7 linked regions of the Cricetulus griseus genome follow. The protein of the gene in region 3 interacts with the protein of the main gene of each other region in a pairwise test. Links are inferred from orthologs where the notes say so. Each region holds a gene or a part of one and is shown on either strand. Other genes may lie near its edges. The genes, in order: Zhx1, CUNH1orf94, Atxn1, Crk, Ywhaz, Cfl1 and Mettl27.

What was found.
Region 1: the proteins of Atxn1 (region 3) and Zhx1 interact in binary tests that used the Homo sapiens proteins (3 or more experiments, as listed by UniProt). The link is inferred for Cricetulus griseus from reciprocal best matches to the Homo sapiens genes ATXN1 and ZHX1.
Region 2: the proteins of Atxn1 (region 3) and CUNH1orf94 interact in binary tests that used the Homo sapiens proteins (3 or more experiments, as listed by UniProt). The link is inferred for Cricetulus griseus from reciprocal best matches to the Homo sapiens genes ATXN1 and C1orf94.
Region 4: the proteins of Atxn1 (region 3) and Crk interact in binary tests that used the Homo sapiens proteins (3 or more experiments, as listed by UniProt). The link is inferred for Cricetulus griseus from reciprocal best matches to the Homo sapiens genes ATXN1 and CRK.
Region 5: the proteins of Atxn1 (region 3) and Ywhaz interact in binary tests that used the Homo sapiens proteins (3 or more experiments, as listed by UniProt). The link is inferred for Cricetulus griseus from reciprocal best matches to the Homo sapiens genes ATXN1 and YWHAZ.
Region 6: the proteins of Atxn1 (region 3) and Cfl1 interact in binary tests that used the Homo sapiens proteins (3 or more experiments, as listed by UniProt). The link is inferred for Cricetulus griseus from reciprocal best matches to the Homo sapiens genes ATXN1 and CFL1.
Region 7: the proteins of Atxn1 (region 3) and Mettl27 interact in binary tests that used the Homo sapiens proteins (3 or more experiments, as listed by UniProt). The link is inferred for Cricetulus griseus from reciprocal best matches to the Homo sapiens genes ATXN1 and METTL27.

Annotation. Positions count from the first base shown.
Region 1 is NC_048603.1:29,563,167-29,567,460, reverse strand, and holds the start of Zhx1 (zinc fingers and homeoboxes protein 1), read right to left. Parts: upstream 2,807-4,294; 5' UTR 2,488-2,806; intron 1-2,487. UniProt on the Homo sapiens protein: Acts as a transcriptional repressor. Increases DNMT3B-mediated repressive transcriptional activity when DNMT3B is tethered to DNA. May link molecule between DNMT3B and other co-repressor proteins.
Region 2 is NC_048595.1:25,030,158-25,034,301, reverse strand, and holds the start of CUNH1orf94 (uncharacterized protein C1orf94 homolog), read right to left. Parts: upstream 2,804-4,144; coding exon 2,490-2,803; intron 1-2,489.
Region 3 is NC_048596.1:265,665,676-265,669,782, forward strand, and holds the start of Atxn1 (ataxin-1), read right to left. Parts: upstream 2,813-4,107; 5' UTR 2,591-2,812; intron 1,511-2,590; exon of another isoform or gene 1,352-1,510; intron 1-1,351. UniProt on the Homo sapiens protein: Chromatin-binding factor that repress Notch signaling in the absence of Notch intracellular domain by acting as a CBF1 corepressor. Binds to the HEY promoter and might assist, along with NCOR2, RBPJ-mediated repression. Binds RNA in vitro.
Region 4 is NC_048600.1:89,144,099-89,148,321, reverse strand, and holds the start of Crk (adapter molecule crk), read right to left. Parts: upstream 2,815-4,223; 5' UTR 2,669-2,814; coding exon 2,428-2,668; intron 1-2,427. UniProt on the Homo sapiens protein: Involved in cell branching and adhesion mediated by BCAR1-CRK-RAPGEF1 signaling and activation of RAP1.
Region 5 is NC_048603.1:14,723,462-14,727,707, reverse strand, and holds the start of Ywhaz (14-3-3 protein zeta/delta), read right to left. Parts: upstream 2,801-4,246; 5' UTR 2,661-2,800; intron 160-2,660; 5' UTR 149-159; coding exon 1-148.
Region 6 is NC_048596.1:53,848,259-53,852,406, forward strand, and holds the start of Cfl1 (cofilin-1), read right to left. Parts: upstream 2,810-4,148; 5' UTR 2,657-2,809; coding exon 2,654-2,656; intron 828-2,653; coding exon 520-827; intron 316-519; coding exon 239-315; intron 76-238; coding exon 1-75.
Region 7 is NC_048597.1:114,000,253-114,004,468, reverse strand, and holds the start of Mettl27 (methyltransferase-like protein 27), read right to left. Parts: upstream 2,803-4,216; coding exon 2,680-2,802; intron 2,026-2,679; coding exon 1,897-2,025; intron 1,382-1,896; coding exon 1,246-1,381; intron 1-1,245.

The sequences.
Region 1 (4,294 bases), on a different chromosome or scaffold from region 3:
GCTGCTTTTCAGCACAGAGAAGACTGGTGAAAGGTGGGACCAGGGTGGCGTCCTGCACGTCCTACCGTCCAGCCCAGTGTAAAGCAAGCTTGGCGGTGAGGGAGCGAAACCACCGATGAGCATCTTCCGCGCAGACACATTTGTGTTTTCGGCCTTAGCATATTTTCAAACCATCTGGCATCTGCGCCTCTCTGCTTTGCCAGACTAATCTGTTCAGAACTGGGTAGAACACCAGAGCCGTGTGCATTGTGGGGAAACCAAGGAACAGCACATACTTAGACAAGTGTTCCAAGTTATACAGCTAGTTATACTTGACCTGTATCCTCAAAACATTTCCAACGAAAACAGTAAGCTCTGTTAAGAATACAAGCACAGCTCGGGACATCTGTATGAATTATAACTGTCTAAGTTACCCAAGTCACTAGCGTGGTTTTTTTCCCCCCTCATTTTAATCTAAGCAGTCAAATATCAAAGGTAACTGTACAAAAAAATCACTGATAAATGAAATACTGTAACACATACACACACACACACACACACACACACACACACACACACACCACGTCTTTTTCCTTATATGCCCTGTTACCAAACTTGTGTTATTGGCAGCACTTAACCTTTCCTCACTAAATCTGGAGTCAGAATCGCTTCTTTAGAAACTGAAATAATCTATGTGCCAATAGCTCTATTGGAACAAACTTTCAGTTTAGTTTAAAATACTGACTTTTTCAGGGCATTAGTTACTACTGCACACAAATCACAGCTTTCTTTCAGACAGAGACAGAGATACAGTGACCAACACCTCAAACAAAAAGGTGCACTTATATCACTCTGCAACACACACACACACACACACACACACACACACACACACACAAACACACAAACACACACACACACACACACACACCCCTCACTCCTCCTGGGGGTAGAGGGAGGGGTTCTTATGGATTTTCAATTGCTATCCTGTTAACCTCTGAGAGCACTGCTTCTGCCAGTTACACAGACTCCCACCTAGTCATGTCACAAATTCTCAGCCAGCCTTTCTTACAAGTTTCTCCTATACAGTGTCCCTTCACGGTGTGGTTTGGGTTTTGTCTCTTAAACAAGGGCTGGCGGCAGAAAAGTGCCTTGGCATTCTACTCTAGCCATTCAGTTTCCCCAGGGGCTTGGTCCCCCTGCACTAAGGACAGCAAACAGAGTCCCTTTCGTCGGTCGTGCTCGTTCCTTGCTGGTCCCCTTGGACAAAGAATCCCAAGTCCCTTCTCTTGCAACTTCGGTGTCAGGGCTGGGCTTTCCTGCCTGTCAGACCCCAATTCTTTCATTCCCTCTTTGTAGCCATTCACCCGAGTCAAGGAATCAGCAGGTCGTTCCCTTTGAGCCCCAGGCATAGAGACTCCCCTGGGCCAGCACGCTCTCTCCCCAGCCATGGCTCCACAGAGAGACAGTGTGTCCCCCTCTTCCATTAACTTCTCCCCGACACCCAGGCATGGAGACTCCCCTGGGCCAGCACGCTCTCTCCCCAGCCATGGCTCCACAGAAGGCAGTGTGTCCCCCTCTCTTTTATTAACTTCTCCCTGACACCCAGGCATGGAGACTCCCCTGGGCCAGCACGCTCTCTCCCCAGCCATGGCTCCACAGAGAGACAGTGTGTCCCCCTCTTCCATTAACTTCTCCCTGACACCCAGGCATGGAGACCCCCCTGGGCCAGCACGCTCTCTCCCCAGCCATGGCTCCACGGAGAGACAGTGTGTCCCCCCCTCTTTTATTAACTTCTCCCCGACACCCAGGCATGGAGACTCCCCTGGGCCAGCACGCTGTCTCCTCAGCAGTGTGTCCCCCCTCTTTTATTAACTTCTCCCTGACACCCAGGCATGGAGACTCCCCAGGGCCAGCACGCTCTCTCCCCAGCCATGGCTCCACAGAAGACAGTGTGTCCCCCCCTCTTCCATTAACTTCTCCCTGACAACCCTGGTCTTCCTCACTCAGGGGTGCAACTCCGCGTCCCCCCTGCCGGCCGAGGCTCCCCGGGGCTCCAGCCCACGCGGAGACCCTCGCGGACTCTTCTGCGTCCCCGCCAGGTGGCCCCACGCCCGGGGCGGCCAGCGCTCGCCGCCTCCCTCAGGTCCCCAGGCGCAGTCAGGGGGGTCCTCCCCGGGCACGGGCTGCCACCGTCCCTCAGCGCCCCAACTCACTCAGCGCTCTCCCGCGCCCCGCGCTCGCCCTGCCATCCCCGACAGCTCCCGGGAGGCGCGAGTGCGCGGGGCAGGCCCGCCGGGTGCCTCCGGGTCCCACGCGGCTCGCACGGACGCCGTGGGCTGGGTCCCGGGGGAGCGGAGGGGAGGGGATGGAGGGGAGGGGAGGGGAGGGGAGGGGGAGGGGTGAGGTGCGGGGGGACGTCTGCCCCGGGGCTGTCCCCTCCGCCACGAGCTCCGGGGAGCTCGGCTCGCGCCGCTCGCCCGCCGCTCGCCCGCTCGCCGCAGCTACCTGCAGGGGCCGCCGCGCCTCAGCGCCTCGCCGCCGCCGCCACCGCCGCCGCCGCCGCCGCCATCTTGCATTTGAGAGCGACTGCACTTTTCAGGGAGTCAACTCTGACCCGTGAACCCTAACCCCGGAACCACTCGGACGGCCCTCACGCGGGGGGCCCACGGAGCCCCGCGGCCCGGCAGCAGCGACACGCGGAGCCAGGGTGCGAGGGGACGCCCTCGTCCCCCCACCCCCCACCCCCGAGCCTTCCGGGGCCGCGAGGAGGAGCCAGGCGAGGCGGGGCGAGCCGGCGCCCCACGCGAGGACTCCTCCGCTCCGCCGCGCCGCGCTCCGCTCCGCTCCGCCGGGACGAGACCCAGGCCGCTCCCCCCCAGGGTCCCCGCGCTGCGGGAGGCGCGCGCCGCCCCGCCCGCCCCGCCCCTGTCAGCGGAGCCCCGCCCCCTGTCAGGAGGAGCCACGCCTCTGTCCGCCCAAGCCCGCCCCGTCAGGGAAGCCCCGCCTTCCGGCGGCGCGAGGCCCCGCCCCTCTCAGGCCCATTGCTCCGCCCACCGCCGCCGCGGCGCGGAGCCGGCTCCCGCCTCCCACCGCGACCTCTAGTCACGTTCTTCTTCCACGGAGGCCCCGCCCTCCCTGGACCCTGACTCCGAGGCCCCGCCCCCTCTCTGGACCGTGACTCCGAGGCCCCGCTCCCACCGCCACGCCACGCCCACATCACCGTCCCTTCCTTCTCAGCCCCGCCTCCCGCCTCCCACCGCGACCTCTAGTCACTTTCTTCTTCCACGGAGGCCCCGCCCTCCCTGGACCCTGACTCCGAGGTCCCGCCCCCCAGCCACGCCACGCCCACCTCCCGTCCTCCCCTCTCAGCCCCGCCTCCGGCGGCCTCTAGTCACTTTCTTCTTCCACGGAGGCCCCGCCTCCCTGGACCCCGGGACTCGAAGGCCCCGCCCCCCTCCCTGGACCGTGACTCCAAGGTCCCGCCCCCACATCCACGCCACGCCCACCTCCCGTCCCTCCCCTCTCAGCCCCGCCTCCGGCGGCCCTCCCGGCTCCAGCCACGCCCCCTCCGGCTGTCAACAGTCCCGCGCGCCTGCCAGCGGCGGCTCCGCCCCTCCCGGCCCGAGCCGGCCCGAGCCGAGCCGAGCCCAGCCGAGCCCAGCCGGGCAGCGGCCGCCGCGGCTCCAGCTCTCTCCGGATGGACGGATGGGGAAAAGTTGAGCGTCCCCCTGCGAGCCACGCAGGGACGCTGAGCTCTCGTGGGCCCCAGCTGAGGTCCTCAGCGCCTTCCCCACCGCCTCTCCCCTCCCACGGTTAAAAGGATGGTGCAAACGAAGGCGAGAAGCAAGCACTCACCCCGAGGGTGCTCACGGCCCCGGACGCACCCCCATCCCAATCAGAGACCCTCTGTGCTTTGGTAGCAGGGTTCCTCCACCAAGCCGCACTACCCACTGCTAAAATCTGCAGCCTGCAATTGCTTGAAGGGGAGGCCCGGCTGCTGAAGTCGACGTGCACAATACTTTAATTGTATCCCAGATTCTAAAGCTCGTGCACCCCGAGGCTCGGTGATCTCACCAGCAGAGGTGCTCAACCCTGTGCTGCTCTCACCCGGTTCTTAAAACAAACAAACAAAATTTGACAGCGCTTTGGCTTCTTGGAACTAAATTCAGAATGTAAACTGCTCATGCAAATGGTTTAAGAAACCAGTAAATTGCGGGGGCAGTGGTGGCGCACGCCTTTAATCCCAGCACTCGGGAGGCTGAGGCAGGGGGATCTCTGTGAGTCCGAGACCAGCCTGATCTACAGAGCGAGT
Region 2 (4,144 bases), on a different chromosome or scaffold from region 3:
AGTCCAACCTATCTTGCTTCCCTGTTGGCCAACAGTACTTTATTTATCAGCCAATAAGACAAACATATGCACAGAAGGACCTCCCCCATCAAAACTCTACACATTAGGCAGGGGAAAACCCAGCAGGTGTGTATCTGAACACATAAGAAACAGTGGTGTGCCCTCTAGTTTTAAAGTTTACCCTTCATCACTCAGAACATGGGGTTCCCACAGATATATATGCAGGCAAAACATGAGTGCACAGAAAATAAAAAATTAAAAAAAAATTAAAAATTTAGATCTATAGGCTCTCGCTACCTTTATTTTGGGGGTTTGCAAATTTGTATAGTGAAAAAAGAATGGGGAATTTGAAAAGGTACTACCTCTTGCCTGCAAAAATTTCAAGATTTACAGAAATTATAACTGCTGTTCTTAGAAGGAATTTATGAATCCTAATTACTAGCAGGACCATTGAACGATTCAGATTTGCCACCTCCAGCAACCCCTACTGTCACCTCCATTTGGCAGATGACCAAAGTTAAGATCCACCATACAGTCACAGTTCTGCATCCAGCGCGGGGCTGAACCTGGTTGTCTGACTCCAGAAGCACTGGCTTTCATTTCATGAAGTTCTCATTGTGTTCTACCAGGTGGATAGCTACAACTATGATGTGGTTTATTCCTCCAAGTAGGTGGTTTCCTGGGTCTCTTCTCAGTCACCAAACTCTTTCAAATGCAACCATACTCAGAACTCCAGTAGTAAAACCAACAAAAGCCTGAACAGCTCTGACTAAAGTATGTGTGGGACCCAGCAGACAACCCACTTGACTCTAGGGTGGCTGTGTGAAGCACCCTTGGGACTTGGAGACCACATGAAAACTCCAGAAGAAAGCCAACAGCAGTAACCCTCCCACCCCAAAACTCGGTGCATTACATATTAAGGCGGTCTTGTTTCTATAATGCATCTTTCATTTCTTTGTTTCCCATCACATTTGACCCTCATTATCGACTCTGAGTTGACAAGGCAGGGCACATCATCCTCAATTTGCAGATGAGGAAATCAGGGCCAAACAGAATGAATCAACTGGCCAAAGGTAGGCTAGTTCAATTTCTGGCCAAGTGTGGACTGGAAGTAGAGTCTGTCTCCATGAATTCAGTGTGACCTGGCAGAGAAGGGGCTATCTACTGGAAATTGCTACTGACCTATGATCCAGAAAGTGGACAATCAGCTCCTTGGCCATTGAGAGAGCTGAGTACAGCCCCCAAGGTTTCCCATGCCAAGGCACTGTCCCAGAGCAGATGGCAATGAACAAGACAGAGGAGCTCGGTGCCACTGAAAAGACTAGCCACAGGATTCTGGCTATAGAAAGGCCATTTCCATCTGAGCCGGGTCCTGCTGAGCATAGGGCAGAGGAGGCAGAAGCAGCCAGCATGCCTTCTACCTTCATCTGCATCAAGCAAAGGAGCTTGCAAAGGGATTGCAGGAAGTGCAGACCTGAGCATCTGCTATACTTTTCTTTCCCTCTCAGCTATTGCTTAGAGAGCCCTGAAACCTGAGGCAGCTGATAAATGCCTGAATGGTTCCCCCATCTCTGAACTGAGTTGGAGCATGTGTTGGGGGCAGACAACACTTAATTATCACTTAGGCTTTAATTGGCACTTAATTATTAACACTTAATCCATCTGTAAAATGGGGACACTAATACCTGTTTCATAGGGATGCTGGGAGGATTAATTAACGCTTGCAGCCCACTTTGAAGGTGCAGAGCCTTGAAAGAGTACTCAGCAGTGACATTAATCACCAAAACGAATGCACTCCTTCTCCTAATGAGATCCCTTCTTCCTCTCTGCTCCTTCCTCTCATTTCCAATATCCAGCCCCAACAATATCTCTTCAACTTTTTCCTAGTGCAGAAACACTTAGCTCTGTGTTTCCCAGACATGGGATTTCCCATCCGGGAAACCGGCTATTTACAGTCATCTTCCCGCACTTTAATTTTCTATTATGTCCTCTGAATATGTCAATGCCTTCCCAGTAAATATTTTGATGTGCGCTCTTGCAGTAGCTCTGTGGATGCTGAATGGGACAGCTGCTCTCTGTATTAGGGGATTCCAGATGTGGTTTCCAGCCATCAGACTCATCTGTGCCAATGCCTGAACTTTTCTTGGGAGAGGGGAAAGATCACCTAGTTGCCTCTGGGGACAGTGATATTACCCCTAGGCTTGGTGAGAATACTCTTGCCAGGACCCCAGATTTTCATCTTAGTTGTCTATGCCTTTAGAATGACAATGTCTCCTTAGTATCTGGAAAGAAGCCATCAGGAATGGTTTCTTCCCTTGCTCCTGGAATTTCAGCACCGTGGCCAGCTCCCTCCTCCAAACTACCCATACTAAGGGATGAAGAAAATGTTTATAGAGTTTAACACTGGCCAGAGAGAGTTCAACCCTAAGTCAGACTTCATTTCCCCTCCCTCCATTCCTTGATAATCAACCAAACAGGGCACTACTCACTCTTCTTGGAAGCTGACAGTCGCGGTCATCGGCGCCGAGAGTTTCTCCAGCGAGGTCCTGGGTTGCAGGGACTCCGGCAAGCCCTGAACTCTCTTCCAGATGTCATGGCAAATCTTATCTAGGCTATCCTGGGGTGTGTCCTGGTGGATCCACACGTATCTGGGGAATGGCCCCAGGGCGGAGGGACGCTTGGCCACCATGGCCGAGGATGGAGGGAGCCCATTTCCACTGGCCATCCTCTTTCTCTCTTTCCGGAAGCCCCTTTGTCCACCCAGGGCTGGGAGACAAAGGGACTGTCCACCACCAGCCCTCATTCACCAGAAAGGGAGCTAAAGACTGGGCCTGGGAAGTAGTCAGTTCTAGCTGGCTGATGCTCCAGCCAAGGGATGGGTTTCAGAGGCGTTTTGTTTGGGTGGGGATGAGGAGTAGGGGGCAACTTTCTTTTGGGGAAGGGGGGCTTATGTTGACTTGCTTTTATTTGCTCTTTCCTGACTTTTGCCCCCCTCCCCCTCTCCCGTAGAAGAAAATATTTAAAAGTCAACAAAAACCAGTAACTTAGTAACCGTGGAATGCCCCGGAACTCAGGAACCAAGCGCCTGGGCGGGCAGAATGACATCTGGGAACGACTGGAGGGGAGGACTGGCTCTCCCCACAGAACCCGGCACACCCCCGTTGCGACACCCCTGTGACACCTTTCAGGGCCTGTGACTCAGCCCATTCTCGCCTGTCAAGCCGCCAGGAGGGCTGAGTAAGGGCTGGGCACTGTACTAGACTGGGTGGGGGCAGGCCATGGGACTGTCTCCTCCCACCTTCCCAGAGATCCGGTGCACGCCAAGGGCTAACGGCCCTCGCCCACCGCAGTTCCTGGCTTTAGCTCTCCCGGCTGCCCCCTTCTGTCCCTCTCTCTCTGCTGCTGCTACTGCTGTTCTGCCTCCCTAGAAAGAAATCTCCTATGCGGTGTTGTGCTGGCAGTCAGCCTGGCCTAGGTCCCCAGCGGACACCTGTAGCGCCTCCGCGCAGAACTGAGACCCAGCACCGCAGAGGGTCCCAACCCTTAAAAGGGCGCCGATTGGGCAGGGTGGGCCGGGGCGGGGGTCAGCAGATTTGCGTGCCGAGTATCTCCCACTCCCCTGCCGTCGAGAGCTGGGATTCTTTCTGTGGGTTCAAGCGCAACGGCTCGGCGGCTGGGTGCGCGGGGACACGGGCCAGGCGTTCGTATCCAAGGTCCGCTGGTGGAGTGGGGGCGGGGTGCAGCCGGGAAGACCCCAGAGAGCTTCCCCTTTGAAGTAAGTCAAAATGAAACACTGTCTCCACCCCCACCACTACAGACATACTTAAGAGCCTCTGAGGGGTGGGCGACCTGCCCTTTTGTCCTCTGGCATTAATCCTAACTGCCATTCCAAGGGAGCACCGAATGCCAAGGGCTGAGCTCAAATCTTATCCTATTCCAGGTCAAGAGTTTAGTACTACTTCTTATTCGGCATACATGAGTCTCCAAGTCCTAAAAAGTTGTGTTTGTCCAGAGTTCAAGAAGGAAGGCTGAAATTCAAAAACTCAGGACTCTAGACCTGATCTAGTGCCCTGGGCTCCTAAGCGACCCCAGCGCTGGGACAGGGACTCGAGAGATAGAAAACAAACAAACAAGAACTCATCTC
Region 3 (4,107 bases):
CCTGATCTAATTACATGAGTGATCAGGGCCGGAGTAAGTGTACAGAAAACTAACACCACTGACAGTATCTGTATGATGAGAGAGGCAGACAGGCAGGAGGCTTTTCAGCCTCCTATGGAAGGGAGCATTCAAGCCCATTTATTTGCAAAGCTGCTAAAATATTGACTGATGCATGGCCAGTTAGAGGACAATCAGAGGAGATTAAATGCCACAGCTAAACTGTTATGGTGCAATCCCTTCCCAAGAGTTCGTGCACATGTTTTTCTTTTGGTGGCTACCTCTAGCTTCCACTAGCATAAACTTCATTCAAAAATAAAATAAAAATAAACTCTCGGCTGTCAAACTGTCTTAGCTACCTACCCACCATCAAGAAACCAGAGGGTGGGCTTAACTTAGGGCTTCTAGGAACTGCAGGGCTTTTCAGAAAACCAAATAGAAATAGCTTGCAAACACTACTGAAAAGTAACCAGCTGTGCCTAAAAATAACCAGCATGTAACTACCTTGTTGTGTACGACCTATAGCAATGATGTTTAAATATTAAGGGGAGCTTGCATTATAAAACAGAAATGTCACTGAGATGAGACTAGATTGCCACAGGGAAACATATTGCACACACACAGTCCTCTGCATGCAAGGGTGAGAACTCTACTGTAAGGCACTACTTTTTATTCTGTAGGTGGTGTGGGGTCTTCTAATTTTACTAATTGTATCCTGTGGCTCTCTCTGAGAAGCTAAGAAATCTCTTCGGGGACAGAACCAGTTTGGAGGAGTTCCTACTGCACAACATACGGTAAACAAAATAAAAATAGCTTGCCTTTCTTGTTAGCCACATAGAGCATTATATAACCAGCTTCCGACTGGCTTTTTTTTTTTTTCGCCCTTACTACTCTTCAGCAATTTCCCAACCTTCCCAAGTATTTATATTACCCTCTTATCTGTAGGATTATGCAGAAAGAAAGCAAAACAAAACAGGACAGCCACGGGATCGAACTGAACTCCACCGTCTTAAAACCCTGATTTTTTTTTTTTTTTTCTGGCAGAGTCTAGATCACCATCCTACTTCCACCCCCCACCACTAAGGTCCTTGCTCAATCTCCCTAGAAAACCTGAATTGTTTCACCGCTTCCAGTCAGCTCTACGTGGTCTGAAATAAAATGAAAGCGCACAAGCCCCAGAGTTGAAGGAGGTGGCTAAGGAGAAGTCGAGGCGCTGCAGAGTCAGCCAAAGGACCACCGCGGGACCCCTCCCCATCTCGGAGGCTCTGGTCCCCACTCGGCGCGAGAACACACGCACACATACACACCTACACACTCACAGGCTCTCACTCCCTCCTCTCCGACCCCGCCTCACCTCTCGCTCCGCCCGTCCGGCCCCTTCCCTGCCCCCTGCGGGACCGGCCTGCGCGCTCCGTTGCAACCACGTAGGAGGCGCGGCGGCCGCGGCAGCCACGGCAGAGGCGGCGTCTCGGGCTCGGAGTGAACGAGCCGCGGGGCTCCGGGGCGCATCCCAATCCCCGCAGCGCCTCCTCCTCCGCCGCCTCCTCCTTCCCCTCCTCCCATCTTCATTCACCCTCCCTGCCGCCGCGCAGCCGAGCAGTCCCGGAGCAGGGCAGAGCCCCTCCTCGGCTGCTGCCTCGGGCGCCGGCTGGGACGCCGGGCCGGGCCGGGCTGGGAAGCTCGGGCTCCGGCTCCGGCAGCGGCGGCGGCGGCGGCGGCTGCTTTGGATCAGGAAGCGGCCGCACCAACAGGGCGGCGGTGGCGGCGGCTGCAGCCAGGGCCCGTCCCCGCCGCCACTCCCGCTGCGCTCCGATAGCCTGCGCGCCCCTGCCCCCTGCGCCGCCACCTCTCCTCTCCCCCAGGCCGTGCGCAAAGTCCCCGGTCCCCAGAGGCTGGCCTGGGCGGGGAGACCCCAGTCTTGGGGTCGCCTCGCACAAGCTAGGCGACCCCGGGCGGGGAAGCCCAGCCCTCCCTCGAGTCCCCGCGGCGCTCACCGCCCCCTCCCGGGAGGGAGAATTTGCAAAAGCGAAGAGGGCAGCGCGACCCTCAGCCGCTGCCGCCTCCCCCTGCGCCACCAGGAGGGAGGAGGACCAGGCTCTCGGCTCTCGCCGCCGCCGGGCCAGCAGCAGCCTGAGCGGGGCGCCGCCGCTCTCCCCACCCGCGCCCCTTGCCCGGGCGCGCCCCCTCTCCTGGGGGCGGCCCACCCCTGGCTGCTCCCCGGGCCCGCTGCTCCAGCGCCCAGAGTGGGGTCCCGAGCCGGGAGGCTGGAGCCCGGCAGGGGTATATGTACACACACTCACACACACGCGCGCGCGCACACGCACACACACACACACACACACTCACACACACACACACACGCACACACACCACGACGCGTCGGTTTCCTTCGCTCCTCTTCCAGCTGTTTTCCTTGTAGCCCATTGAGACTGGGGGAGGGGAGATTGTACGCTGGATGTTCTTTGGCCCCTCTCCGGAGAGAGAGGATTGGGGTGAGGGAGGGGGTGATTTTAATCTAAATCGAGGGGGGGGGAGAGGAGGAAGGGGGAGGGGGAGAGAAAGAATCAGAGGAGGAAAAAAAATAGCCACTTACTGTAAAGTGTAAATGGATCTGGGGTTGCGTGGGGAAGGGGGGACAGAGGGAGAGACACAGTGTCCTGCGGCTGCTGTAGCTCTAGCTGCGGCTCCACAGGGCTTGTTTTGGATCCCCCTGCAGTGAAACAGGTCCTGTACGGCTCCGCCACTGTAGTAGAAATGATGTCTGCGGTATACTCTGCTCTCTCCTCCTCCTCCTCCCCCCTCCCCTCCCTCCTCCCTCCGCCCGCCCTCCCTCCCTCGCGCTCTCTCTCGCGCTCGCTCGCTCGCTCCAGTATGTAAATGTGTAATAGAAGCCAAATATGGAGCAGTTGGCTGCCGCCGCCACAGCTCAAGGATCCGACTTCATGGGGGGGGGGGGGCACCCTCTGGCAGGCGGCCCGGCGAGCCGCACAGAGCACGGCGAGCGCACGGCGCGGCTGCCGGCCCGCGCCCTTAACCCTTCTGTGCACCCGGCCGGAGCAGCGGTCCCTCCCTCCAGGGGAGGCCCGGTGCCTCTCCCTAACTGCGGCTCCGGATCCCGGACATCGGCCCGTGGGGACTGTGCCTTCCAGGTTTGAGAAAGGGGAGGGGAAGTTGGGGCGATGAGGTCATTGGAGTGGTGACCCGTCGGAGCTCGCGCGCCTCCCCGTCTCCTTGCAACCTAGTTGGAGGGGACAGGGCGAGTGTAGGGTGCAACGCTCGCAGCCTGGAGGACTCACCGCAGCGGGTGTCAGGCTTCGGTTCCCACCTGGTAAAATAAGCAAGGATGCGGGGAAGTCGGCTGACTCTAATCCCGAAGTGACCTTGGTGCCCCCACCCCGCCACCCCGGTGTGTGTCTAAGAGGACTCACTGTATCCTCGCTGTTAACCCTCCAGCCGGTGAGCCCTGAGCAACCCGACTCTGGGCCCGCGCCTTGGCTTGCAACTCGGGAAAGTTCTCAGGCTTCCTCAGTTTGCACTGGCGCCCTCACCTTTCCTGCCCGGACAAGCTGGCAGCCTCCCGACCCTCCTATCTAATTCTGCAGGTCTAGAAATCTGCAGTAGGAATCAGACGTCTCAGTTCTAGCTCTGGGAGCCGACCTGCTCACTCCTTTCTCAGCTAACAGGGAATCACTCATTTCATCGGAAGTGAGGTAACCGGTGCCCCGACCATTCGATGGCGGTTCTCGGGAATCCACGGCAAAGGAACTTTCCCTGGTCCTGGTGGCTGAACGCAGACATAGAGTCCCCCCACCCACCCCCTCCGCTACAGCACTGCCAGGTGTGAGCTCGGTGGGAAGGAATCTTCCCCGGAGGAGTGTACCTTGCCAACAGGTGTGGCACCCGGAGAAAGAGCGGGCACAACCCTACAAGGGTCGCTCAGTGCCGAGTTCCCTTTGCTGCAGATAATTCTCGAAAACCAGTAGGTGTCAGGCCAGCATCTGACCTCTTTCAGGTGCTTAGAACTAAGAGTCTAGAAACCCGATCCCTCGGTCTTGTAGGAAGCCACTATTATTGACTGTAAGCGGGATTTGAGAGACCTTTTGGCTCCGT
Region 4 (4,223 bases), on a different chromosome or scaffold from region 3:
GATAGGGTTGCACAGTAAGACTCTGTCTCAAAACAAAAGAATGGAGTTTCCTAAGTGCACTTCAGGGATTTCAAAGCAAATAAACAAAGAATAACAAAACTATATAATAAGGGGCCGGGTCAGTTCTCAGGTGACACTGTCTAGCTCAAATTCTGGTTTAGTTATATACTAAATTTGTGACCTTACAAGTTACTGGATTTCTAGTTCTTTCGTCCAAAAACTGGAAATATTTTAATAAATGCACATTGCAATATTTCACTCACTATATTGTTACCGACAGTAACTTCTGTAAGGCACAGAAAGTCCTCAGCAAAGCATCTGGCATACAATAAGCAGTCAATAAGTGTCAGCTATTAATATTATATATGCCTCTCTAAAACTCAAGTAATCCCTATGTAGCTTTAAAACAAAAAGAGCTTAATGGGGGGGGGGCAAAGATTAAGTATCCATCATAAAGTAAAAAACAGCAAGTGAACTGACTGCCCTAAAGAGAAAATAGGGTACATGACAGAACAAATTGCCACAATGCCAATGAACTTTCCTACCCCACCCACAAACTGGCAATCTCCTCTCTTAGACCAACCATCTATTTTGAAAAGGTGGAGCTGCTGAGATATAAAACCACAATGCCCAGGTATGGAGAAATATCAAACTAACAAACCTGCCTGCTACTATTCCCAAGTTTTATAACAAAACACATAGAGAGAAAGCTGAGGACTGAAATTTTCTACCCTACTATTGGAAATAAAACCTGGGCTTCCCTAATGCTAGGCAAATAAACTACCACTGAATTATATTCCCAGTCCCACCCCCATCCTAACTTTTTATTTTGAGGCAGAGTCTTACTAAGTTCTCCAGGATAGCCTGGAACTTGTAAAATCATCTTGCTTCGGTCTCCCAGGTGCTGGGATTACAGGCATTAACTATGACATGTGGTTGGAAATTGAATTTCAATGACAACATACCATCCTAGTACTGCACTTAACATAAAATAGATACCTTGCAGATGGCACAAATACCTTTAGGGCAAATGTGCTACATTAATATTCTTATTTTATTTTACATATTAAACCAATGAGACCTAGAAAGATCTAAATGTGTAAACTAAAAGGACCTCAATACTAAATTCTTCCCTTAACTTGTGTGTGCTAACAAAAAGAACTATCTTTATCGCACCTCATTTCAGGCCAAAGTGAATAAATCTAAGTTAGGACTATCCTAAAAAGGGCAGGTCTGCTATGGTTAGCCAAGGAGTCTTCATTCATGAGACTGGCTCAGATCTAGGAGAAAAAGGCTTTCACTTCAAACATCCAGAAAGCAAGAAACTTGATGCATTACATACATACACAGACAAAGGCAATCACAGAATCACTCTGTATCTCAAAAACCTCAAGTGCTAAGTGGATGTATTTCCTTAACATTGCCAGACAACTCCAACAGTATGGGCAAGGCGGTTACAATTCATTGATCCTTGACAAGACCCCGTGGGATAACTAAAATGCTTGGTGTTATCTTTACAGACAGGTCTGTTCTTGTATCTTGGAAGACTTTGACTACAACACCAACTTACTGAGCAATAAAAGACCCAGAAGTACATGACTGACACTGTTTAAACCCAAGGAGAATGAAGCTCCATTCACTTCCAGGGTTGTTCTCACTGGCTTATACCTGGTTTATTTTCTGAAGGAAAAAAAAAAAAAAAACCTTTCCCCCACTAATCACTTTGAAACTAGAAACTCTAGTTGCAGCAGGCAGTCTTTTGGACACTTCAAACCTCTTGGACAGTTTGCCAGCTAGGCTTCAATTACTCTGGGCTGGTCACAGAAGGCTTTTTTCTATTACCAAGTCACTTAGTTCACCACCTTCGTATTCCACAAGGGAAGAACACGGTAAAAAGATTTTGGAAAAATGCCCAAGAAAGGAAAAAACCGACCGGCTTCCTGAGGGTGTCTCCATCCCTCCCAGCCAGCCAGTACGTGGTGACTTCCTACCGAAGGCCACCAGGGGAGTATGGCCAAAACCGGCTCTAACACTGCAGGAAACGTTTCAAGCCTAAAAGCCACTTGTAGGATTAGCAGATCCATTCTGGGCACCTCTGCCAAATTGTGTCCCCGCAACATCCCCACTAACTCTTTGTCCCCAAGTTGCCTGGCCCTGCCCTGCCCTTGGGCCTGACCCTGGCGCCCAGCCCCACCCCGGGGCCGCAGCAGTTCCCCTTCCCCGGCTCCCAAGGCACACCCAGAGGCCTCGGTGAGCAGCTCCTCCTCCCCCACAATCCCGCTCGTCGGTGGGAACCAGCCTGGGCTGAAGGCAGCTCCCCCGCCAGGGTCACTCCTGCCCTCTCTGCCCACGTCCCTCCTCCTGAAGCGGACCAGAGTTCCACGGCCCTCACCCCCGCCCGGGGCCTCCCGCCCGCCTGTCCCTCACCCGGCGGAGGCTGAGCGGGCGACGGAGGCACTGGAGGGCGCGGGCCGCTGCTGTTGATGATGTAGTGGGAGACACGCGAGTTTTCCGAAACGCTGAGCACATAGTCCCCGGGGCTGGTGCTCGAGTCCCGCACCAGGAACACCCCGTGCCGCTGGCCCTGCAATAGCGCCACCGCCTCCTGCCGGCTCAAGCGGCCCCAGTACCAGCTACTCCGCTCCTCCGAGTCGAAGTTGCCCGCCATGGCCGCCTCCGCGCCTTCACGCTGGGCCGCCGCCGCCACGCGCGCCCCTCCAGCCCTGGCGCCCGCCGCCCAGCGGACCGGCTCCGGTGTCAGCCTCCCAGCAGCGCCCGAAATGGCGGCGGCGGCCGCGGGCCTTCCCCACCGGAAATGACGCGCTCTCTACCCGAGGGAGGCTGCCGGGAAGGGGGACCGCCGCCCGCCATTGGGAGAAGGGAAACGGAGTCCTTGGGGCCCGCAGTGCGCACGCGGCTTCTTCATGGGCGTCGCCTCCAGGTCCAAACCCTGGCGACCGAGGATGGGGAGGCGGAGTCTAGGACTAAGGGGCGGAGCTTCAGTCTGCAAGCTGACTGATGTGTGTCTGACAGATTGGTGGCCTAGGTCTTTCGCCCAGGACCTACAGGAGTGGAGTAGTAAACGGTCCCAAGATGTTAGCCTCCCTCAAAGCTCCCTGACAAGCTGGTATTTTTCTGCTGTTTTCTTCAGTTTCCCCCGAGGTAAGCAGAAGTTCTTGTTACTCAGTAACAATCATAGACGTTACATTTCCCTGCAGGTGCAGTGGTGATCCAGACTGGGCCGTAAGTCACCAAATTCACAGACCAGTGGGAGGAACCAGGAAACAATTAATGACAAAGGAACAACAAATGCTATGATGGAAAACAGGAATATAAAGAGATCAACTAGGCAGTCTGTAGAGGGATCCAAGGGACTGGTAATGTGACTCATGACTGTAACACCAACACTTAGGAAACTGAGACAGGAGGATTACTGTGAGTCTGAGGCCCTACCTTACAAAACCTAAACAACAAACAAGGGTCCACAGATGAGGTGGCTTGAATGATTGGGTGTTGAATGGCAAGTGGGGAAGGATACTCAATGCAAAGAAAACAAAATGCTCAGACAGGAGAAAGGATTGAGGCTCCTATGTCAACCAGACAGTTTCCTCTATATTCTCAGTTGTAGTGATGGATGTCTCCTACTCTCACTTGCTTCATGATCATGATCATCTCTCTCAATTTTTTTTTACTTTGAAATGAAAAAAATTGTTTTTGTTTTTTTGAAACAGGGTTTCTCTGTGTATCCCTCTCTGTCCTCTAACTCACTCTGTAGACCAGGCTGGCCTCAAACACAGAGACCCACCTGCCTCTACCACCCGAGTGCTGGGATTAAAGGCGTGTGCCATCACCAATGCCCTGCTTGACATGAAATCTTATGATGTAGCCCAGGCCGACTCAAGATCCTTCCACGCCAGCCTCCCCAGTACAGGGATTATAAGAATGCACCAACATGCCTGGCTGGCCACTATTGCTAAGATTCCAGTGCACAGCCCGCCTGCTGCTGTTCCTTAGTTTGGCTTGCTGGATGACACTGTAATAGCCATCAGTACAAGTTTTCTAAATACAAATCTGTTGTTACCCTGCATAAAACTTTGAAAATCTTTAAAACTTCCAGTTTAGGGGCTGGAGAGATGGCTTACCAGTTAGGAGCACTGACTGTCCTTCTAGAGAACTCGAGTTCAATTACCAGCACGCACATAGCAACTAACAACTGTCTCTAA
Region 5 (4,246 bases), on a different chromosome or scaffold from region 3:
TTTTGTAAGCAACAGAGAGGAGATTCCTCTCCTCATTAGATAACTCAGCTCCTTGCTCGGTTACAGATTTCATGCAGGCTGCCATGTCATCGTAGCGCTCAGCCTGCTCGGCCAGTTTGGCCTTCTGCACCAGCTCATTTTTATCCATAACTGGATATTCTGCAAAGGGAAGAAAAGGGATATTCAGAAAATTCCTATTAGAATAGCTCCTTGTACCTGTAACAAGGTATACTAGTATCTTAAACCACGGCAAGTTAAAATACAGCCCCTCCCATCAACCAGAAAACGTACATACCGAGCATATTAACAGTGGCTTAGCAAATGGCAGACGCCCCCCCACCTGTTTAGGAGACCCCCAATTTCAGGTAAGATCAGAGCATATATGTGCTACTCTATCATCAAAAGCCACCTTCAAGCTGTGACACAGACCTGTCATCGCTCAGCCTGCTGTCCCTTGCTGTGTATTCCAACACACTTGTTTTCTTAAAAAGCTCAACTTAATCCCAATGCAGAGTGACCTACACTTCACCACCTTTCCCTACAGTGAGAGGGTAAGTGTGAGTGTGAGTGTGAGTGTGAGTGTGTGTGAGTGTGTGTGTGCGTGAGTGCGTTGGGGAGAACACTCCAGATCCGGACCTAGAAGGTCCATGAAGAGCACTCCACTCGCAGAACCGTGAGTCAGGCCAGCTAACCTTCAGTGTGTGCACTCTGACCCCGAGTGGATTACCTTTTACCTAGCACTTTCTCCAGCCCGATCTGCTACACTTCCTGGATGAAAACTATCTGAGGAAACTGACTGACTGATGCTTAGGATACCCTGAATATAAAACCACTAGGGATCACTCGCCCCGAGACCAGACAGACCCATCTACATGGAGTTACATGCACACTTTGCGCAGCAGGGAGCGAGCACTCAGGGCCAACCCAAGCGCAGGCGCCCCCTGCGATGTCACACTGCAGTTTAGGTGCAGACTCCCCCTGCATGGCTTTTCTCCAAGTCACCATTTATTAAGTCGGCCCTAACGTCTTCTCCGCCAATCTCCTTTGCAGTTCAAGTTCCCTAGATCCCAATTTATTTCTGATCAACTTTTTTTTTTTTTCTTTCCTTGAACGGGGTCAAGAGCACGGTTCTCAACCACAGGGATCCCAGGAAATGAATTTCCATGACAGTCACTGCCCAATGCACCGCCACCACCCAAGGCCACCATCGCACCCTTTCCTTTAACCTTTCCAGAAATCGCTTTTTTGGGGGGTGGGGAGGGGTGGTGTGGTGTGGGGAGGGAGGGGGCGTTAAATCAATGAGAAGCATCCTCAACTGAAACAAGCGCCGGGGCCTGGCTAGGCCGAGTTAACCCTTTGCGGTCTGGAAACCTCACACCAGAAACGGCCCTGGGAAGTGATGTCAGCGCGGCCCCGGCGGCCCCACCCCCGCCGACCTCAGCCGCCCGGTTCCCCGCGGGAAGCACACGAAGAACCAGCATCTACACTGCGGGAGCCCTCGCCGCACCCACTTAACCCTCGCCTGCCCGGGGCGGGCGGGCGGGCGAGCGGGGGCGAGCCGAAACCGCGCCCCAGACTTTTTAAAGCCAGCGCCAGTCCTCGCTCGCGTCCGCGCCGCCCGCAGCCACCTCCCCTTCTTGGCTCCGCCCAGGCTGGCGCCTCCGCCGGTCCCCGGCTCGCTCGCTCGCCCTCTCTCTCTCTTTGTCATGGCGGAACTGTGTCAAGGAGCCCAACCCAACCCGAGCACCGCCGAGCCGAGAGGGAGGAGCGGTCGGGTCGGGTGGGGTGGGGTGGTGGAGGTGGGGGGGAGGAGGCGGCGGCGAGCGGCTCGCCCTACCCGGAGGGGGCCCCCCGATGCCAGCCAGCGGCGCCCGCACGAGCGGAACCGACGGCGGCCGACCCGCACCGGACACACCCCGCTCTCTCCCTCCCGGGGTCCCCCCTCCCGCCCCCGACAGCTGCGGAGGAGGAGGAGGGGGATGGGAGGGGCCGGGCCCCACCCAGACCGGCGCAGCCCCCGCTCTCCCCGAAGGATGCTCACCTCCCACCCGGCCGGAGACCCCCCTGCGTCCCCGGGGCGCCCAGGCCGAGCCCCTCCCCCAACCACCCACCCACCCACCGAGTGTGCGAGCGTGCGAGCGAGTGAGCCACCGAGAGGGACCCAGGAAGCTCAGCCCCGGGTCCCCGGCGGGAGGGCAAGCGGGAGGGCGAGCCGGCCCCACCCCGGAGACTCGCTCTCTCTCGCGCGCGCGCTACCTGGCTGCCCGCGCGGCGGGGGAGGGGCGGCGGGGGCGCCACGGCGGGGTGGGGGCCGCCTCACCTGCGCCACGGCCCCGGTCCCAGCCGCGGCGGAAGCGGGTGCCGGCGGGGGCGGATGGCGCTCGCCCGCTCGCCCGAGCTTCAGCCCTACCCCCCCCAAACCCGGGAGGGTCTCGCGCGTGGGCGCCTCCTCCGCCACCCCCACCCCCGGGGACACGGGACACGGGCGGACGGGGCGACCAGCACCCCGGCAGGGCCAGCAGCAAGCGGCCCGGGGGCGGCCGTGGGCGCTCGCCCGGGGCTCGGCGGGACGAGCCGCCGCCCGGGTCCAGGATCCTTGGGGACGCCCGCCGCGGCGGGGCGGGCGAGCGGCGGAGGGGCCAGCCCGGGAGGCTGCTCACCTGTGTCCGGAGTGGGTGGCGGCACACGGACCCGGTCGGCAGTGTCCCTGGGCGGCGGCGGCGGCGAGGCTGAGACTCTGTCCCTGATCTGGCTGCTCACAGGCTACAGCGGCTCCGCAGACACGGGGTTTCCTCCAATCACTAGCCCCGGCAGCAGGGGCACCACACGCACAATGACGTCAAACGCTGCTATGGCAACCGTTGATTGGTGCCCGGCGCAACCGCCGCTCCCCCGGCGCGCGCCCGCCCCGCCCACCCGCTCGCTTGCCCGCCCGAGGCGAGCTCAGGGAGAGCGCGTCCCCGACCCTGCCTCCTCCTCCTCCTCCTCCCGCGCGCTCGGCTCGCCCCCGCCGCCCCCGCGAGCCGCCCTCCTTCCTCCTTCCCTCCTCCCTCCCGCGCCGCCCCTGCGGCCCGCGGAAGGAAGCCGCTCCCTCCCCCCTACACCTCTACTGGCGGGCACATCCGGGACCTTTCGCGTCTTCCCCCCCCCCCACCCGCCCCTCCCCCTCCCGGCCGCCCCGGTAATGACGGCGGGCTCTGCGGCCGGGGCATTGTGATCAGAGCCCCGGTTGCGGGGCGGCAGCGGGCGTGGCCGCTTGCTAGCTCGCCCGCTCGCCCACCGCTGCAGTAAAGCGGCCTTAGACCTTTTAAGGCTCGGGCGAGCCGCCCGCTGTCCCTCCTGTCGCCCCGCACAGACCGTGACAGCCAGGGAGACAATGGGGGGTCTCCGGGAGGAGAGGGGAAGGGCTTGTGCGAGCTGGGGGGACACAGGCTCACACAGCGAGCCGATCTCCGGGCGCTGCACTGTTGCCCCCCCCCCCCCACACACACACACAGCCGGGCTTTGACGGGGAGGCTCGTTGTCTCCACTTAACGCTCTCAAAGAGCCTTTTAGGTCCTGGGAGCCACCTTGGGGATACTGGCTGCTCGCTCTCGGGGCCCCCCATCTGACAGTGGGAGGGGGGCCGCTCGCCCGAGCAGGGGCGGGAGCGCCTGGGCCCGGAAGAGGGGGTAGGAAGAGGGCGGAAATTGCAGGTGCCTGCACCCGCAAGGTCTCCACCCAGCAGACGGAAGCGGAGGGAGAAGCATTCTCAGCGTGAAGCGTGTGCCCTTGCGTCCTTTAAACGTGCGTCCTGAGTTGAAGCAAACGCCTTTACCCAGCTCCTGCTGGCTGGAAAAAAGAAAAGGGGGGAAAAAGTATTCAGCCCATAGCTCTCCAGAAGATTCCACGACAAGCTGTTCTTCCCCCAACTCAGTGTCTGTCTGTCGGATACATGGTCTGGTCATAAGCTTGCTCTACAAATGATCATTTCCCTGAAATGGCAGATAGGTAGCTCGAGAGTTGCCTGTGATCGCTTTCCCCTGACCCACCCACCCCGAGTCTGCACATCCACAGATCCACAGCACCGCTAAAACAGATAGATGAGCAAACCGATGCAGGCTCTCATGGAGACTCTTGCAGGGAGTGACTCACTTCGTAGGTGACTAACACTTCAAAAGATTCCAGGTTTCCAGCTTTGTAGTAGGCGCTCGCAATTTGACAGAAGGTACTAGGTTAAATCTCCTGTAAAGTGGGAATGGCTGTT
Region 6 (4,148 bases), about 210 Mb from region 3:
CACCTAGTTTTTCTGCCAGGGTGCAGCGGTCCTTGACCTCCTCGTAGCAGTTTGCTTGTAATTCGTGCTTGATTCCTACAGAGAAAGAGAATGGTGAGCAGGGAGCACTGGGATGGGGAGCTTTGTGTCTGGGAAGCAGCCATCTGATCAGGAGAATGGAGGACCCATTATTGTCATCAACCCACATGGCAGTCTCGACTCACACAGAAGGGCACATGAAAAGGAGACCCATCCTTACCTGTCAGCTTCTTCTTGATGGCATCCTTGGAGCTGGCATAGATCATTTTGCTCTTAAGGGGTGCACTCTCAGGGGCCCTGAAGACAAAGCAAGGAAACTGCGGCAGCTATCCCCAAATAGGTGTCTCCAGAAAAGAAACTTGTTTAGGATGCTCAACATGGGCTCCCTGACATGTTCCTCATTAGTTTTGTTACAACCCTGACCCCCAAACCTAGGATGATTTCGGTTAAGCTCTCCTGAGAAAGAGAACATGTGGCAGAGAGCTTCAATGAGGAGCTCACCAGAAGATGAACACCAGGTCCTCCTTCTTGCTCTCCTTGGTCTCATAGGTTGCGTCGTAGAGAGCATAGCGGCAGTCCTTGTCGGGCAGCATCTTGACAAAAGTGGTGTAGGGGTCGTCCACAGTCTGCCCCACGTCTCCCACCAGGATCTCCTTGCCCTCCTCCAGGATGATGTTCTTCTTGTCCTCACTCAGGCAGAAGAGCACTGCCTTCTTGCGCTTCTTCACTTCTTCTGGCGTTGAAGACTTGCGCACCTTCATATCATTGAACACTTTGATGACACCATCAGAGACAGCCACACCAGAGGCCTGAGGGGCAAACCAAATAACAGGAAACCTCAGTCAGGATACCAAAAGGTATAGCTCTGAGCCCCGCAAAAATAGTAATGTCCCTGCAGACATACGATCCCCAATACAATCCATCATCTAAGGATTAGGTGGGTCAAACCCCTACAAGGGAGAGTACCAATTATCTAGCTCAACACCCCCATGAAAGGTTAGAAACAGCGCTTGTTAAAAGGAAAACATAGCCAGGAGTGGTAGAACATGCCTTTCTCGGAGTTCCTGGGCAGTCAGGGTGACAGAGAAAGTCTGTCTCTTAAAAAAAAGAAAAACAAACAAACAAACAAACAAAACAAAAAGCCTTTGCTGACTTAACGCCAAATTCAAAGAATCTGAAAGTTACTGATTGGGTTGACACCACTCAGCCGCTAAACTAAAATGCTGACTTTGAAGGAAAACTGAGCACCTGGGCCAGACTCATCTTCGGGCAAGAGGGGACCAGAACTTCGCAAAGACCCAACAGATGCTCAACAGTTCATTAAGTTTGCCAGAGCCTTCATTGCATAAACGACACTCTCACCTGCTGAGATCTCCCAAACAAAAAAATTACAACCCCTAATTAGGGCCCTGCCGGACAACTCCCTAAGAGTGGTGTCCTAAAGATCACTGACAAATACGTCAAACTGTAGTGCCTCAAATCGTCAAAAATTTTTTACTTTGCATGGCCCTGGGGGCCGACCCAAACAGAAATCTGTAACCAACCCCCCAACCATGGAACTGCAGAGGAAGCTAGCCACGTGATTAGCCCTCTTCCGGAGTAGGCGGGGAAAGGAGGTTGGGTTAGGCTCAGGGCCTTCCCAAGAGACAGTCGTATCCCAGAGGCGGCGGGATGTACGAGGTCTGAAAGCCTAAGAATCGCCTTTAGGAATAGCCGTGAGCCCCGTCAGCTTTGAGAGGTAGCACGGGCCAGTCACACAAGCATCAGTTTTCCAGGCCCTCGGGCTTAACATAAGAGTTGGGTGGCTTCCGGGCGGTACCCGCCTGGGTCACTTCCCTAAACGCGGCTCCACCCTCGGCCCCATCCGGCAGAGCCAAAGGCCTAGCTCGTCCAGAGCTGCGGCCGGGATGGCAGGGCCCAAGCATGTGCGCACGCGCTGGTGCACAGTGCCGTTCCAGCCATATCCTGAAGTACAGTGAACAGAAAAGGCAGTGTGTTATCGCTCTTTCTAGAATGGGGGCTAAAGCCCGTATAGGACCCACAACACCACGACCAGTGCAAGGTCCTAGTCTCCGGAGCCAGTGCCTCAACCAGGTCTCCGATGCGCTCGTACCCCCCCCCCCGCCAGCCAAGTTGCCCCCGCCCCTCCCTGGTGGCATCCCTGCCACCTGCTGTGGAGACAAACCCATCCGCAGAGGGAGGATGATGCGAGGAAAGGAACAGCCCTTGGGTGGGGCGCGCGCCGGCACCTCGCGCGCGCTTTTCCCTAGCGGCCCCGGGGCAGGGTTTGGATGCCGCGTGCTCTGGTCCAGCGCGCGCCATCGAGAACCGGCGAGCGTTGCCCTAGGCTCGGCACACTGGACCCCTCCCCCACGGCCAGTGACCGCGCGGGCGCAAAAGCGGAATGGGGGAGGGGAAAGGAGCCAGGGGGCGCGCTAGCGACGTCCAAATCGGCCCTTCCCAGCGCCCACGGGCGCGCACGCGCGGCCTGCCCTTCAATGCAAGACCCTTAATCTCGCTCGGGGCGCTGGGGGAGGGGATACTGAGAACGCTTCTCTGCCGCCCCCACCCCACCCGGCGCGCTAGCGACTGGTCACGAAACCGCCTCCCTCGGGCACAGTGGCCTAGTGCTCACCATGTTTCCGGAAGCGAAAGGGAGACAGGGAGAGCGACAGAAGAGCTGAGCCGCCGCAGCTGCTGCCGGGATCCGACTGAACGCGGCCTCTCCCGGCCCCTTCCGTTTAGTAGGAGCCGCACAATGAGGGGCGGGGCGGGCTTCCGGCGCTCGCCGCGCGGGCCGACGGGAAATGAAGTCCAAAGATTTTGCACCGATGTGGAGCTAAGCTGCTCCTGGGTTCTGCAGAGCCTGAGGCGCGGGGGAGTAGGTGGAGGCAGAGAGGCGGGGCTATTGCACGGAGAGTGAGCCCATTGGTGCAAGGGATCAGGAAACGCTCTTAGATGAGCAAGAGGCCCATGGCTTGATAAGATGACCTGAAAATAATTCTGTCCTGAGTCTCTCTTAATCCCAAAGTGAAGTGGATTCCCGTTATGTATGGCTCCTATTGATCAATGTTTTAATTTTCTGAATCACTGGCTTGGGATCCGCTTCCAAAGAAAGGAGGATCGCAATTATAACGGTGTCTCCAAGCCAGTAGACAAGCTTCCGTGAAGTGTCCCTCCATGTGGAAAGTCACTGTTGTCTCCCAAGAGGTCGTATGAAATTGCAACAAAAAATAGGATTTTAACAAACGGAAAACGTTACAATAGAAAGTTTGAGAGCTTCGGTTTGTTTAAAGACATTTGGCAACTTCTTGGGTCAAATATAATTCATGTGGGAAGGGTGAAGAGTTATGTATTAGAGACATATATTTCCTTTACCAGGCGATAAGAAAAGGAATATTTACTTGAATTTAGCTCTCGAGTTGATAGGTTTATGGTTATTTTAACAACAACAACAACAAAAAGAACCAGACAATCTCTCTGAGAGCAAGAGCTTAAAATAAACTGGGGTGGGGACTCGAACATTTCTTTGACCTCGAACAATGATCATAGCTTCACAATCGGCAGGAAAAGAGGGCAAAGTCGCAAGCAAGTTACAGGCGAAGGAAACTGGGGCCCTTGACCCGCCCCATAAGCCGAATAAAGGGTGTGTATGAAGAACAACCCCGTCGAGAGTGAGGCAACTCGCAGAGCATGCCGGGGGTTGTAGTCAGAGTCAAGCCGGCTGCACTCATGGTTTGAGCGGCGGAGCTCCCGGTGCAGGCGAAGCCTGACACCCCCCCACCCCCACCCCGTGCCCCTCTTAAAGAAAAGACTAGCTCCACCTTTTTCGAGCCTCGCGGTTTCCCAGAGCAACGTGGGGAGGGGCTACAGTTACCCTGGAGACGCGCTCCTTCCGCCCCCGGCCACGAGATGCCCTAGATGTCCTTATTAGGGAATGAGACTCCAGGGGGCGTGCCCAGCCCGAGCGCCAGCTTCTGGCTCCTTATAAGGCTGCCCGAGGAAGGAGGAGGGTGCGGAAGGCTAGATTGAAAAGAGGGTCGGCCAGTGAGGTGGACAACGACTTCCGGCATGACAGCTGGAGATCGTGGGCTGTTCCAATCCCTGAAGAGACCCCCTCCTGTGCTTTA
Region 7 (4,216 bases), on a different chromosome or scaffold from region 3:
GTACTTTTCACCTAGGAACCATCTCTCCAATTCCATCAAGTTACCCCAAGAATATAATGTAGTTTGGTCCTTTTCACCCCTACTTCTCTCATCCTCTAGCACCTGCTATTCCCCCCACCCCCCTTTTTTTTTTTGTCAAAACAGGGTTTCTCTGTGTGGCCCTGGCTATCCTGAAACTCACCATGTAGACCAGGCTGGCCCTGAACTCACAGAGATCTGCCTGCCTCTATATTGGAGAATATTATTTTAAGGTGTGTTACTTTTGTTTATATTGCATTTGTTTAACTCTGTGAAGCTGTGATTCTTTGCGTGTCTAAAACACTTGATGGTCTAATAGTGAGGCAGGAGAGAGGAAAAGGCGGGGCTGGCAGGCAGAGAGGATAATTATGAGGAGAAATCCGGGGGGGGGGGGTAAAGGCTCTGAGAATGAGAAAGGAAGGAGGAGGACTTCAGGGGCCAGCCGCCCAGTCCGACATGGAGGAAGAAGGAAAGAAAAGGCAGGCCAGAATAGAGAAAGAGAAAAGACCCAAGGCCAAAGATAGATGGGATAATTTAAGTCAAGAATAGCTGGCAAGAAACAAGCCAAACTAAGGCTGGGTATTTATAACTAAGAATAAGCCTGTGTGTATGATTTATTTGGGAGATGGGTGGGGGGGCCCTCAAAAAGTTAAAAGAATAAAACAACTAGCTACACCTCTACCTCCTGAGGGCTGGGATTAAAGGCACGCATCACCTCCACCACCCTTGCTATTTTCATGTCTTGTTTTGTTTGTGACCCATTGAGTTTAACTGGGGGTGGGCTGCCTGAGCTTGGTGTGTGTGTGTGTGTGTGTGTGTGTGTGTGTGTGTGTGTGTGTGTGTGTGTGTGTGTGGTGTGCTGGAGCATGGGCAACTTATCAGTGGCAACACCACTGAAGAAAATGACTGTTCCTTTCCCAACAACTGTGTGTAGCTCCTTAGGGACAGGTGAGACCCTATGATTAAATTGCTTTTGTCTGATATTTTGTCAGAGCAATAAGAAAAATAATTAGTAGAAGATGTTATGTATACACTGGGTATAGTAGGACCTCAGGCACCTGTAGGTCCCAGCCTTGTGTATGAGATGAGGTGACTTCAGACTCTAGATTGGAAGGGAGGGAACAGTGAGAAGGCTCACATAAGACTTCAGAGTGAAGATGGAGGCTGGACAGGAGGGGATATTTTGGTAATATGGGTGAGTGGGGAGGGGTGTGGAGTGGGAAGTACCTTCAGGGTTAGGCAGCGGCTCCTGGCCCAGGGTGCAGAGGCTGAGGTGTTGGTACAAGCCACGTGCCTGGGCCTGCTTCAGCATTTCTGGGCTTCCATCCACCCCATGCACCTGTAGAAAGCCCCGAGCTTGCAGCTGGGAGAGAAGGTGGCATTAGTCACGGCTCATCCCCTGCCACTGCTCAGCTGGGTCCTTGTACGTTGTGACCAATGAGCCAGAGATAGAGGATGGGTTCTTGGTCAAGGAGTGGCAGGGAGCTAGATGTGGTGGCTCAGGCCTGTCATCCCAGGTACTCCGGAGACTGAGGCAGAAGAATCCTAAATTCAAGGCCAGCCTGGGCAACTTAGTGAGACCCTCTCTCAAAATAAAAAGCAAACTAAAGGACTGCGGGTGTGGCTCGTTGGTAGAGGGTTTATCAATAATCCCCCAGTGAGGACTGAGGTGTGGCACCTGCCTAGACTGGGGCATGGCTTAGTGATAGAGTACAAGCTCAGAATCCCTCAGTGAGAGGCCGAGGGTATGTGTGGAGACCACCTGACTACAGTTCACTAGCCAGGGGCTGAGGGCTGCTGATTCAGAGGTAGCATGTTGGAAGCCCTGGGTGCTGAAGAGGAAGCAGAGCATCCTCATAGCATATCAGAAGGTCTTACCTCCACAGCCACCAGGCCGGTGCCACAGGCCACATCCAGGATCAGGGCATCATGGGGTGGGCCCAGAAGGGCTCCACTGAGACATTCCACAGCAAGGCAGGGGGCTCGGTACTTCAAAGCAGCCACATCCTGTGGACAGAGCACTTAGTCTAACACCCTCTAGTGCCCTAGGGTTTGGAGTACCTACCTAGGGGCCTGTTAGGGGCCTGTTGGTTTGAGCTGATGTGTTTGGTTTGGGTCCTTCTGGGACCCCAGTAATAGAAGACCCAGGCTTGAGCTGTCTTTGACTGTCAAGGGACCCCACACCAGTGGGACCACTGGCTACTGGCCATAAAGATTTTATTTATTTAGTATACAACATTCTGCTTCCATGTATATCTGCACCAGATCTCATTATAGATGGTTGTGAGCCACCATGTGGTTGCTGGGAATTGAACTCAGGTACTCTGGAAGAGCAGTCAGTGCTCTTAACCTTTGAGCCAGACCAGCTGTGGCAGCTCTTAACCAGTCTGTCTATATTGAGTGACGACTCAATAGCGCCTTCTGCAGGCAGTCTCCCTGTCTGAGTTTCAGTATTAAGGTGGGTCATTCTTGGCTCAATGGGGACGTCCAATCCAGAGTTAGAGGGGGTGCTTAGAGCTAGTAGGTGGGCAGATCGCTAAGGAGCAGGTTTGGAAGGTTCTTTCCCAGGTCTCTTTTCAGCTCCTAGCTTCCCTGGAATGAACGGGTACTATTCTTGCTTTGCATATAAAAACACAATCTGGGCCGCGTGCTTCCTTTCACCTGGTCGTACTCCGGAGCCCAGCTGTCATAGAAGCGGAGCTTGCAGGCCAGGTCGGTGATGTCGTGGGAGGCCCCGATCCGGGCCAGTACTTGGGGCAGCCTCCCAGCCTCCTCCCGAGTCATCCTCCTGTGGGGACAGAACCCACCCTGTGACGAGGTCCACCACAGTATCTCGTCCTTCCTCACCTGGCGGAGGAGGTTACCAGAGCTCCAACTCCTTCCCACGTCACATACAAGATCCTGAGTGGGAGATGGCGGGACTGTTTGTAGGGGAGGGGTGGGTAGAGGGGTAATCCCGCTCAGGGAATGAGGGCTGCGCCCCAGCCCGTCACCCCCGGGCGTGGATCGGGGGGTTCTTCCTCACCGCAAAGCCTCCAAAGAGCAGAACATTCAGAACGCAAAGCTCGGTTCCCTCTTTCCGGGCTAGACGGGCGGTGGGACAGAGAGCCTGGCCCCGCCTCCACAATCAGATGATTGGGTTTCCGTAAGAGAAAACAGACAATCAAAAGAAAGATCCGAAATCCGCCCCTACTACGAGCCAATGAGCGTAAGGCTCTAGTCTTCCTTGCTTGGGAAGTTCTCAAACTCTCCCAGCTGGGTTTGTTTTGGTTTTGTTTTTTCACAAATAAATAAACAAATACATTTTTTTTTTTTTTAGAGACAAGGCTTCTCAATGTAGCCCTGGATGACTTGGAATTACTTATGTAGACAAGGCTGACTTGGAACTCACAGAGTTCCTCCTGCCTCTGCCTCCCAGGTTCTAGGAATAAAGCCCTGTGCCACGGCTCCCGGCTACAGTATTTTTTTTTTAATAAATTATTAATTTTTGGGTGATTGTGTGTGGTGGTCAGAGAACAACTTTTTGGAGTCTCATCTCCCCTTCCAGTTCCTGGGATGGGACTCAAATTCTCAGCTGGCCTGCAAGTGCCTTCACTTGCTGAGCCATCTCACAGTCCCGGTTTTTAATTTTTTTATGATTTCAAGTAGCTCAAGTTAGTTTAAACTTTCTATGTAGGCAAGGACAGAAATGTACTTCTCAACCTCCTGCCTCTGCCTCCCAAGTGCTGAGATTTCATTGTTCTCATGGAACTTTCCAGAAGCACCTAAAACATCCTGTGTAGGACAGGGATGTCTCTCAGAGAAGAGTGCTTGCCTAGCATGGATACACTCATAGGTTCTGTCACTGAGGCGACCAAAGGATAATAATGACTATCCTAGCTGTGGTGATCAGTGCATGTGACCGTTCTTGGACCACTCCCCGGATCTCAGTCCATCCCATTGTAAGACCCCCGGGAGCTCAGGCCCCCAGGATCTCAGCCCAGGACTGCAGCCACTCTAATCACCAGGCAGATTCGAAAGCTTGATGCAAACTGCACGAGACTTTATTATAGTTATTTAATGAGCTAACCCCATGTTAGCTCGGGCCTTTCATCCATCCACCATGGAGGATGGCTAGGAAAAGACACTGCGAAGCCACTGTATAGAGATCTTATAGGGCAGCGTAAGGGAGTGTCTAGGGGTATGCACAGGTTCAGGA